Caenorhabditis elegans: one gene and its partner. The protein of the gene in region 2 purifies or fractionates together with the protein of the main gene of each other region. This does not show direct contact. Each region holds a gene or a part of one and is shown on either strand. Other genes may lie near its edges.

Region 1 (3,554 bases), on a different chromosome or scaffold from region 2:
TTTAGATGCGTTAATTAGTTTTTTTCATAAATGACATAAATGACAGTTTTCCGAAAAAAAAACCTTAAAAAATCGACGAAATTTGCGAAAAGCTAGGAGTACTGTATTTCACGGATTACTGTAGTTTTTCATTTAAAAAGCTTGGGTCGTGTCGAGACCGGGTCCCGTAATTGTTTGTTTTAACAATTGTGATTTTTACAGTGCGAATTGACTCTTAATGCATTTTTTAATAAAAAGATTTACAAAAAAGATTCCCTCGCCGGTTGAGCTTCCAAAATTTCAAAAACGATAGCTTACCTTCTGCGGCTAACACATTGAGAAAAATAAAAAAAAATAAAATCAGCATGATAATTTCTGTTGTTAGCTTATTGTGCGCTTTCCCCCAAAAACGGAAAGTGATCCTTGTTTCCTCTCGAGACCCTAAGAGGACCGCCCGTTTTGTATACCAGTTTCTTCGTTCCCTCAACAACTTCTAAGCTTCATGTCCTCCACCCCTCTGGTCACATCACTCGACTGTGTTCCCCTGACTTGTTGAGAGAGAGAGTAAGAGCGGATGCGAACGAATCATGTTGTCGATTACTAGTCGGGTGTCACATATCGTTTACTTATCACATACAAAATAGATAGAAGCGCAAAGAGATCGCCGATAGAAACAATATCTCGGAAGAAAATGGGAAAATGCAAAGTGAAAGCGGGTATAATCATGAAAAATTGTTATGAAAGTATGTATTCATAGTTATATAATGAATGAGAGAAGGCAGAAGCAGGGAGCAATAAATATTTGGCAATGTTACTTAGATTTCATCAATTGAGAGCTCTGGGAAATCACCAACTTTCACATCGACTGGTCGAACAAATCCTCCGTATTTGGGATCACAATCGAAATATCTGAAATGAAAGTGTTCGGATAAAAATTATTCAAAATTATGGCTGAGTTACCTGACACCAGCAACGGATCCATCATTCTTTCCAACTGGCTCATCGTATTTAACTCCAACCCAAACACCTTCCTTAAACTTTGTAGCTCCTACGTATGCGACTTCTCCTCTCCGGGCCATTTGTGCTCCAACAGTAACTTCGCATCGGTTTCCAACCTTTAAATTAAATTCATTTTTCCTTTTTGGAACAGCGCTCTTACCATTATATTTTTCGCGGCTTCTTCATTCAATTTATCGCTTTCATTTTCCATTGGAGCAGCACTACCTTGTTCTTCTTGCATCTTTTTCTTCCATGCACGAACGCTGTCTGTTCTCTTTCCATATGTGTCATCACTCATTTCATATTTTTCAACCATACTTTCGTCCTTGAAATCTTCGTTTCCACCAGTCACATCAACGGCGTGAATTCGGTAACCGTCGCGAACACCCAAATCTTTCAAACTTTTAGCCCCGTCTGTCAGCTCTCCTTTCAGTTGATCATCTCCATCAAACAATTGAATGCGCATTGAATCGACCGTAGTTCCAACTACAAGTTCGAGTTTCTTCTGAAAAGTTTTCGATTAAATAGTATTTTTAAAGAAAACATTATTTTTACAATATACTTACTTTCAAATCATTCAACGACATGCCAGCCGGATATTTCTTTTCCATCGGAAAATCTGTTGCATTTGTAGTGATTTCAAGGTCGTAAACTTCTGTCATTTTTCAGTTCTGCAAGAAGAAAATTTGTGAAAAAAGGGTCGTTTCCAAGGAGAATGTTCTGAGAGAGCTTAAGAATAGCTTCAAGAAGAATGAGCGGTCATGCATTGTAAATGTGTTCCGGAAGAGCAAGAAAGACGGGCGGTGCAATTAAAACGATAAATAGGCAACACCTGCTTCCAATGGTTTCAAATTGTAAGAGAGCATGTAAATTCAGTCAATTCATTGCGAAATTCGGAATTAAATTGGATGAGCTAGCGAAACGGCAGCTGAAGACTACTTATTGCAATCGAATTTTTTATCGAGAAATCTGAAAGGTTTTACTATAAAAATAACAGTAAAAATATCATTGAAGTCTTTAGGAAACTAAGAAATTAGACAAGAATTAATAAAAAATAAATGCATCTGACTTGGCCGAGAGGAGTACACAGGCTGTGCAACGGAGCGCGCTTACCACCCTTTCATTTTATTTGAAAAAAATGCAGGTCTAGAAATACGAAGCATATGTGAGAATTCAGTAAAACAATTTCATGATACTTCATCAATTTTCTGGAAATCAGTAAAAATCCAGAGAGTCTAATTGTGATACAATTCTTGTGAGAGGATGTCACATTTCTCAAAAAAATATCAGGGAGAAAAATATAAAGTGAAACAATCAAGATTCGTATCAATTTTTGCAACTTTATAACACTGACTCAATAATCAGCAATATTTGAAGTGTTCCTTACAAAATGTGAAAAATACTTGAATGCATGAGAGAGTGGATAACTTTTTGGGAATACTTTGAATACCTATTTTTAATGAAGCCACAACTTTTCGATCAAAACTAGATTTGCAAAAACATGTTAAACTAAAGGAACAAAACGTGAAGTGTGATCAATCGGATTATATTCGAACAGTACATTAGGGCTGTGCGGCTGATGACTCGGCTGAACGAGCAAATCAACGTTTTTCAACGTATTAGCAATGATCAATTAGGGAATACTTGTATTTGCCATATCGGCTGAGTCTTGAGCTTCTAATTCTAGAAAAAAGTTTTTAAAAAAGTGAACACCCCTTCCAGAAAAACTCGTTTTTCCAATCAGCCGACAGCCGACAGCCGAGTTACTCGGCTGATTCAAAAAGCCGACTGTTTTGTCAAGGTGTGTGCACTTTAAAAAAACTTTTTTCTAGAATAAGAAGCTCATGACTCAGCCAATACTGCAAATACAAATATTCTTTAATTGATCAGTGCTAACACGTTGAAAAACTTGATTATCTCCATCAGCCGAGTCATCAGCCGCACAGCCCTACAGTACATGGATATGTCTACTCGCAGAGAACACAATTTGCTGATAAGAACAAAACTAAATTGATTTATTGATACATTTAAATATGTCATAAGTTCATTAAGAGCCATAGTAGACGGCTGCAATAGCAATGAGGACTTGGATGAACAGAAGAAGAGAAGCACCGAATGCAATGATTGGGAAGAACACGTGAAGAACAGCTCTGAAATTTTACAGTTAATCTGCAAAATACGACTTCCAAATTAAATATTCAATGTGGCACTATTCATTAAAAAATTCGGAACTCGGTCTCGAAACGGTCGCAAATTTTCACTTTGTAAACTGCGAAAAAGAGTATGTACCTTTCAGGGTTACGGTAGTGTTTATTACATCATGTACCTTGAAGGTTTCGTTCCAATTCAATATGAATTTAATGATAAGTCTTCAATTTTAATTAAACTTTCCTAACTTACCCATGATCCGTAATCACCATTGTTCTTCTAACTCTAATTGTATTTGGAGTTTTCTTTTCTTCCTTCTTCCCTTTGGTATCTCCAATTGTTGTATGTTCCGGATTGATATTTTCATTGAGAAGATTGTCTGCTCTCTCAGTTAGCAAATCATCTTGATTTACATGTCCTTGTCTTCA
Region 2 (5,269 bases):
ATTTAAATATTCGGATTTAAACGAACTCTTTGACACTTGTAAGAACTGGCTTCACACATTGTCCTGGATTAGAGCTGGAAGGTTGTGGATCTTTCGATGGAGCTGAAAATGTTTTTTTTTTTGAGATTTTATATTGTTCAGATTACCTTTGGTAGCTGGTTTTCGATGTGGATAAATAGATACAATCTTTTCGCCGCTTTGTCCAGTGAGAAAACACATCACAGCACTGAAAATTCAAAATTATTTTTATGATAAATTGAACTTTATTCAACAAGATCACAAATAACTATTGATTTTCAGTAATTTAAAAACTCACTGAAGATGACTTTCTCTCTCGAAATCCACTTCTTTCGCTGACATTCTTCAAAAATTCAAAAAAGATTTTCTGGTATGCAATAGTAGATCACAGTACAAAAAAAACCAACAATAGTTGCGAGACCCATGCATATGACGAAATTTTCAAAAGTGAAATTTTCACTGATTGATTTTATTCCATAATCGGAATAATTGTAAATAGTATTGAAATCGATACATAACGGATAGTATTTTTAACGGACATTTTCGCTGATAAGAAATTAAGGAATTTTATGCAAGTTAAAGCTCATATATTTTGTAACAAACAATAAGTTGTGCAATAAATAATCTTCCGGTAACAATTCAATCATGTTCCACAACAAGAATATCTCGATCTTCTGAAGGTGAATAGTGTCCAAATTCTCTTAACGGATTTTCTAGTTCAATTCGGTGTTGTTTGGCTTTTTCACTCATAACGAGGTATAGACGGATTTTCGATGTATTGGGGACTTTGAAGAGACGAGCGAGCTGGAAAAAATAAAATTTTTGATGGAAGTATTTAGCCTCTATTTTTTGATGAAACTAGCCTCTATATGGGGACGCAGAAAAAAACACTTTAGACATTGATCTGAAAACACGCTCAACGGTTAATTTTAAATGCTCCGCCCACAAACTATGGGTCTCGTTAGGTATTAGGCGACAAAACCGTAAATTAAAATGTTTCAATTAGTTTTACTGATTTCGCCTATTTTTAAACATTTTTCGTCTTTTTTTGGTTCGTTTTTCATTCTTTAATGATTTTTATGTCGAAGAGATGTTTAAAAATGAAATGCTAATGATTTTTTCTATTTTGTCTCAAATTTTTATTTCATTACTTTCGGCATAAAAATCTTTGGAAACAACGGAAAACATAACAAAAAATCTTTAAAATTAGCGAAATCGGCAAAACAAACTAGAAACGTTTGATTTTACAGTTTTCTGTCAAATACCTAGCGAGACCCATTGCTCGTTACGTTTTCAATTGGAAGTGGAGCGCGTTTCTGCGTCCCCAAAATAATCGAATCAAGATAATACATTTTTAAATTAAATTCTTTGCATTTTCAAAAGTACATGCATGTCTTCTTGATTCAAATAATAATGATTGTTCATTTGCCTACCATATCTCTAATTTTCTGTATGCTCATTCCCAATGGAAGCCTTCGTGTCTCCACTCGATTTCCACATTCAATTCTAATTTTCACCACCGCAAGGCCCTTTTTTGCTGTATCAAGTGTCGGTTCTCCATGAATTTCAATCAGTCTTTTGATATCGTCTTGATGATCTTCGTTATCATTTAGACCGGCATATTTGTTCAGAAATCGAATTTCTGCAGACCTTCGTTCTACTTCTGACACATCAAACCTATTGAGATCTAGAAAAAAACATCTACTTTAAATAATTTTTAATATTTTTGAAACCAACCTATTAAAGTGCTCAACTTGGCAATTACAATCTCATAGGCATGGACACCCTTTTCAGTTGATAATTTTTTGCAATCGAACAATAACCGTTTCAAACTTTTAAGAGATCTAATGGAATTTACACTTTTCCATTCAACAATTGAATTTCTTTTTATGTTCAGATATTCGAGTTTCGGGAATTTTATCGAACCATCGAATCCGTTTAAGCTCGTAATTCCACAATTCGCCACAGAAAGTTGTGTCAAATTCGGAAAAGTTCCGTGAATGGAATCTAGTGTTTTGAATGGATTATCTTCGAGATCGAGGGATGTAAGACGAGATGAAACAGCTTCAGAAACTGAGAATCTTGTGAGATCATTACCAAACGCCACGACATCTGATGTAGAGGGGAACCGGAGAAGAATCGAGTCGATCTGAAAAATAAAAATAGCAATTCTAGACACTTTTTTTTTAATATTTCATTGGTATTCCTTTAACCTTTAATCTTTAACCTACCGAATTCTCAGATAAATTGCATTCACTAATGACCAATTTCTTACAACTATCCGAATAAACATGATCATCTCCTTCTGATTCATCATCATCTTCTTCTTCATTGAAGCATTGCATGCGATTCCTTCGTAAGTTGAGTTCTTGAATTCTAGGAAAATATTCAAGAATCTGACGAACTGTTTTCCATTTGTACAGTAGATTTCCATAAAGATTAAGTTCACGACAAAGTATAAATTGGGGAGAATCCGAGGAAGGTGGGAAGCCGACTGATCGATTATCAAGAACAATATTTATAAGTTTCTCGATATTGCTTTGTTTTGCAGCCGTTTGATCCATTCCGATCAACTCGATCTTCTTATTGGATTGCGCCAATTCAATTTCAGTTTCGACGCTCTCTTCCTCGATGTATCTGTCTTTGATTTCAAACAATAGATCAGTTGGTTTCGGTACTATTTCATGCTTCATCAATGATCCTCCATTTGGATGTCTGAAAATTTGAAAGTTCACACTTTTGTGACTAGTTTGTATTATTTAGTGACGAATTTTTAAGGGAAAGTAATTGGAGTGTTAAATACGGTAAATAATCCCCCGACACTGTATATTTAAAAGTTCATGGAGACCGCCATAAAACTATGAAAATGTGTACAGCGGAGATCACTTCCATTTTTTGTCCCAATTTGGAATTCATTTCCGACAGTTTCGAATGAGAAATGTCTATAGAATATATTTCTGATGAAAATGTCTGTTAACCTCGTCTGAAAGTATCGTTTTCCTCTCACAATTCCATCATGTTTTCCACGTGTCGGATCATCCCACTCCAATCCAACCCATCGTTGACTACCGTATCCATCGACTTCTCCAATATATCGAACTGTTGCTACTTCGAAATTTATTCGAACTCGTTGTCCTATTTCCATCTGGAAAATTGTTTTTTTTCTTGGCCCATCTTGTCAAAATTATTGGACCACTCGCGGAATAAGATGTCCAGAGATAAAAATTAATTAAATTTAAAAGTTCAAATTAACTTATTTATTCCCAAAAAATACATAGTGACTAGCGGAAAATGCAAAATGTCTATTAGATATGACCAAAAATAGCTAGAGAGAAAAATGGATCACAATGTACAGAAAATTATGCGCTTGACGGCAAATGGATATCAATCAACTCATCGGGTTTGACTAGAGTTCTGATGAAAGTGCGTTAGTTGTGAAAATGAAAAATTAGGTTAGCGAAATACTGTTTTACATGCAGATGGGGGATGAGAACCAATCTATAATAACGGGGATGCAGTTATACAATGTGGTAAAAGTTTGAACGTTTTAAAATTATGACGAAGTGAGTTCCTTTGGATCAAAATGGTCAGTAGTGAGGAATACTATGAATAGGAGTCCGGTTCCTAGGAGATCTCCAAGAGCTGTAAGATATGGAATCACAGAATTATCTGGGTCAATTTTCCATTTCCAAAGAAGAGCGACGAGAAGTTGACAAACGAATAGAAGTATGACAACCTGCAATTTTTGAAATTTTGATTATATATTTTAAATTTTCGATAAAACCTTACCTGAATGATTGCCGCAATCATATAAAGACTGGTGAAAAGTGGTCCATGGGGTGTCACATTATTCTTTGAAGTCAAAGTGAATAACTGGATAAGGAAATTGAAGCAAATATGACCAGGAACAACGAGTAACAAAAGAACTCGAGCCGATCGAGAATCCCATTCTTTTGAGAAGAATGCACGCTGAACACTGGTAAATCGACTGACAGTCCATTCATTCGGAAGAACTCCAACTGTGCCGGCTTTATGGAAATAAGTAGAGAGTCTGCTGGCTTGAACAGCAGCCAAATTCCCTCCAACACCATTCAATACTGGACCGTATGTACTCAAGCTATGATATCTTCGGACTGCGGTTTCTAATATAAATCCTCCAGCACTACTGATAAGCATTGACATGATGACTGGTGTCCATCCATTGTAGAGAGTCTCCTGTGTTCCTTCATTCTCGTTGGCAATTTTTATCCAGAAAGGAAGGAGAAGAAGGAATAATACAATCACGATAACATTGAGCCAAGATTCAGTATTATGAGCTTTGAGGAACACGGATCCGAAGAAAGCCAGTACAGTGAGTGTCGTCAGATCTCCAAGTGATGCAGCAATTGGTGTGGCCACATTATCGGGATTGATGTTGTATTTTCGAGATGTCACAATGACAACCACCATTAACAGTGATAGTACGAGGGATGCACTACATGCTGTAGCTAGGCTGCTTGCACACATCAATGCACCATGAGCCCAATCGAAATCCCCAGAAGGAATGAAAGCGAGAGCAGCGGCAAAAGCAGAAGCGAGGAAAGCGACGACAGTAGCCTGAACTTGCACAAGTGCCAAGTTGGCGATGACTACATCTTTTCGTTGTTTTGAAGAATCCATATGACCAAGGTTAGCCTGAAAAATTGATAGAAAATTATAAAATTGAATATTCTCAAGTGTAAACTCACAAGTGTTGAGAGTCGACTGGCTAGTGTCATTTCCAGATTTCCTTTAAGCCCAAGCAGTGCTGGAACTAGAATCAGAATTTCAGGGATTTCTTCGAACAAAGGCCATGTGACTACTATTGAGAGAACCAATCCAGCAAATACCATTCCAAGACCAGCGACGGCAAACGGAAAGAGAACCTGAAAACAGCAAGTTCATAATTTCTTTTGTAAAATACCTGAAAAACTTACTTGGAAAAAGAGTACATAACTCGATTCGGCAGGAATCACCGACATGTTCACAAGATCGTTTGAATGGTCGTACGTCCTCGATTTTAGTGAAGAATTTTCGTTCCTGAAACGAAAACTGGATCGGATTAATATACTGTTTGGAATATAATTTTGCAAAAAAAAATTACATAATGTAAAAGAAATGAGGAAAATTTTAAGTTCGGAATCAAAACTACGACTTTCAACTCAACTGGAAAGAAAAATGAGAAACCAAAGTATGAATGACCTCGAAAATGTAGAATCAGGTTATTTATTTG

The links.
Region 1: the proteins of tbce-1 (region 2) and tbcb-1 fractionate together in Caenorhabditis elegans (co-fractionation; one large-scale study listed by BioGRID). This does not show direct contact.

What each region holds. Positions count from the first base shown.
Region 1 is NC_003283.11:13,590,219-13,593,772, reverse strand, and holds tbcb-1 (Tubulin-specific chaperone B), read right to left. Parts: upstream 1,650-3,554; 5' UTR 1,641-1,649; coding exon 1,545-1,640; intron 1,484-1,544; coding exon 1,139-1,483; intron 1,095-1,138; coding exon 940-1,094; intron 889-939; coding exon 795-888; 3' UTR 590-794; downstream 1-589. Other genes in the region: F53F4.4 (DUF19 domain-containing protein), read right to left, coding at 298-346; F53F4.18 (DUF4342 domain-containing protein), read right to left, coding at 3,026-3,128, 3,379-3,549. UniProt on the Caenorhabditis elegans protein: Binds to alpha-tubulin folding intermediates after their interaction with cytosolic chaperonin in the pathway leading from newly synthesized tubulin to properly folded heterodimer.
Region 2 is NC_003282.8:8,292,584-8,297,852, reverse strand, and holds tbce-1 (Tubulin-specific chaperone E), read right to left. Parts: upstream 3,164-5,269; coding exon 2,997-3,163; intron 2,734-2,996; coding exon 2,250-2,733; intron 2,168-2,249; coding exon 1,756-2,167; intron 1,706-1,755; coding exon 1,452-1,705; intron 823-1,451; coding exon 658-822; 3' UTR 570-657; downstream 1-569. Other genes in the region: nprl-3 (GATOR complex protein NPRL3), read right to left, coding at 27-102, 147-226, 317-360; K07H8.2 (SLC41A/MgtE integral membrane domain-containing protein), read right to left, coding at 3,572-3,754, 3,808-4,692, 4,746-4,922, 4,974-5,088.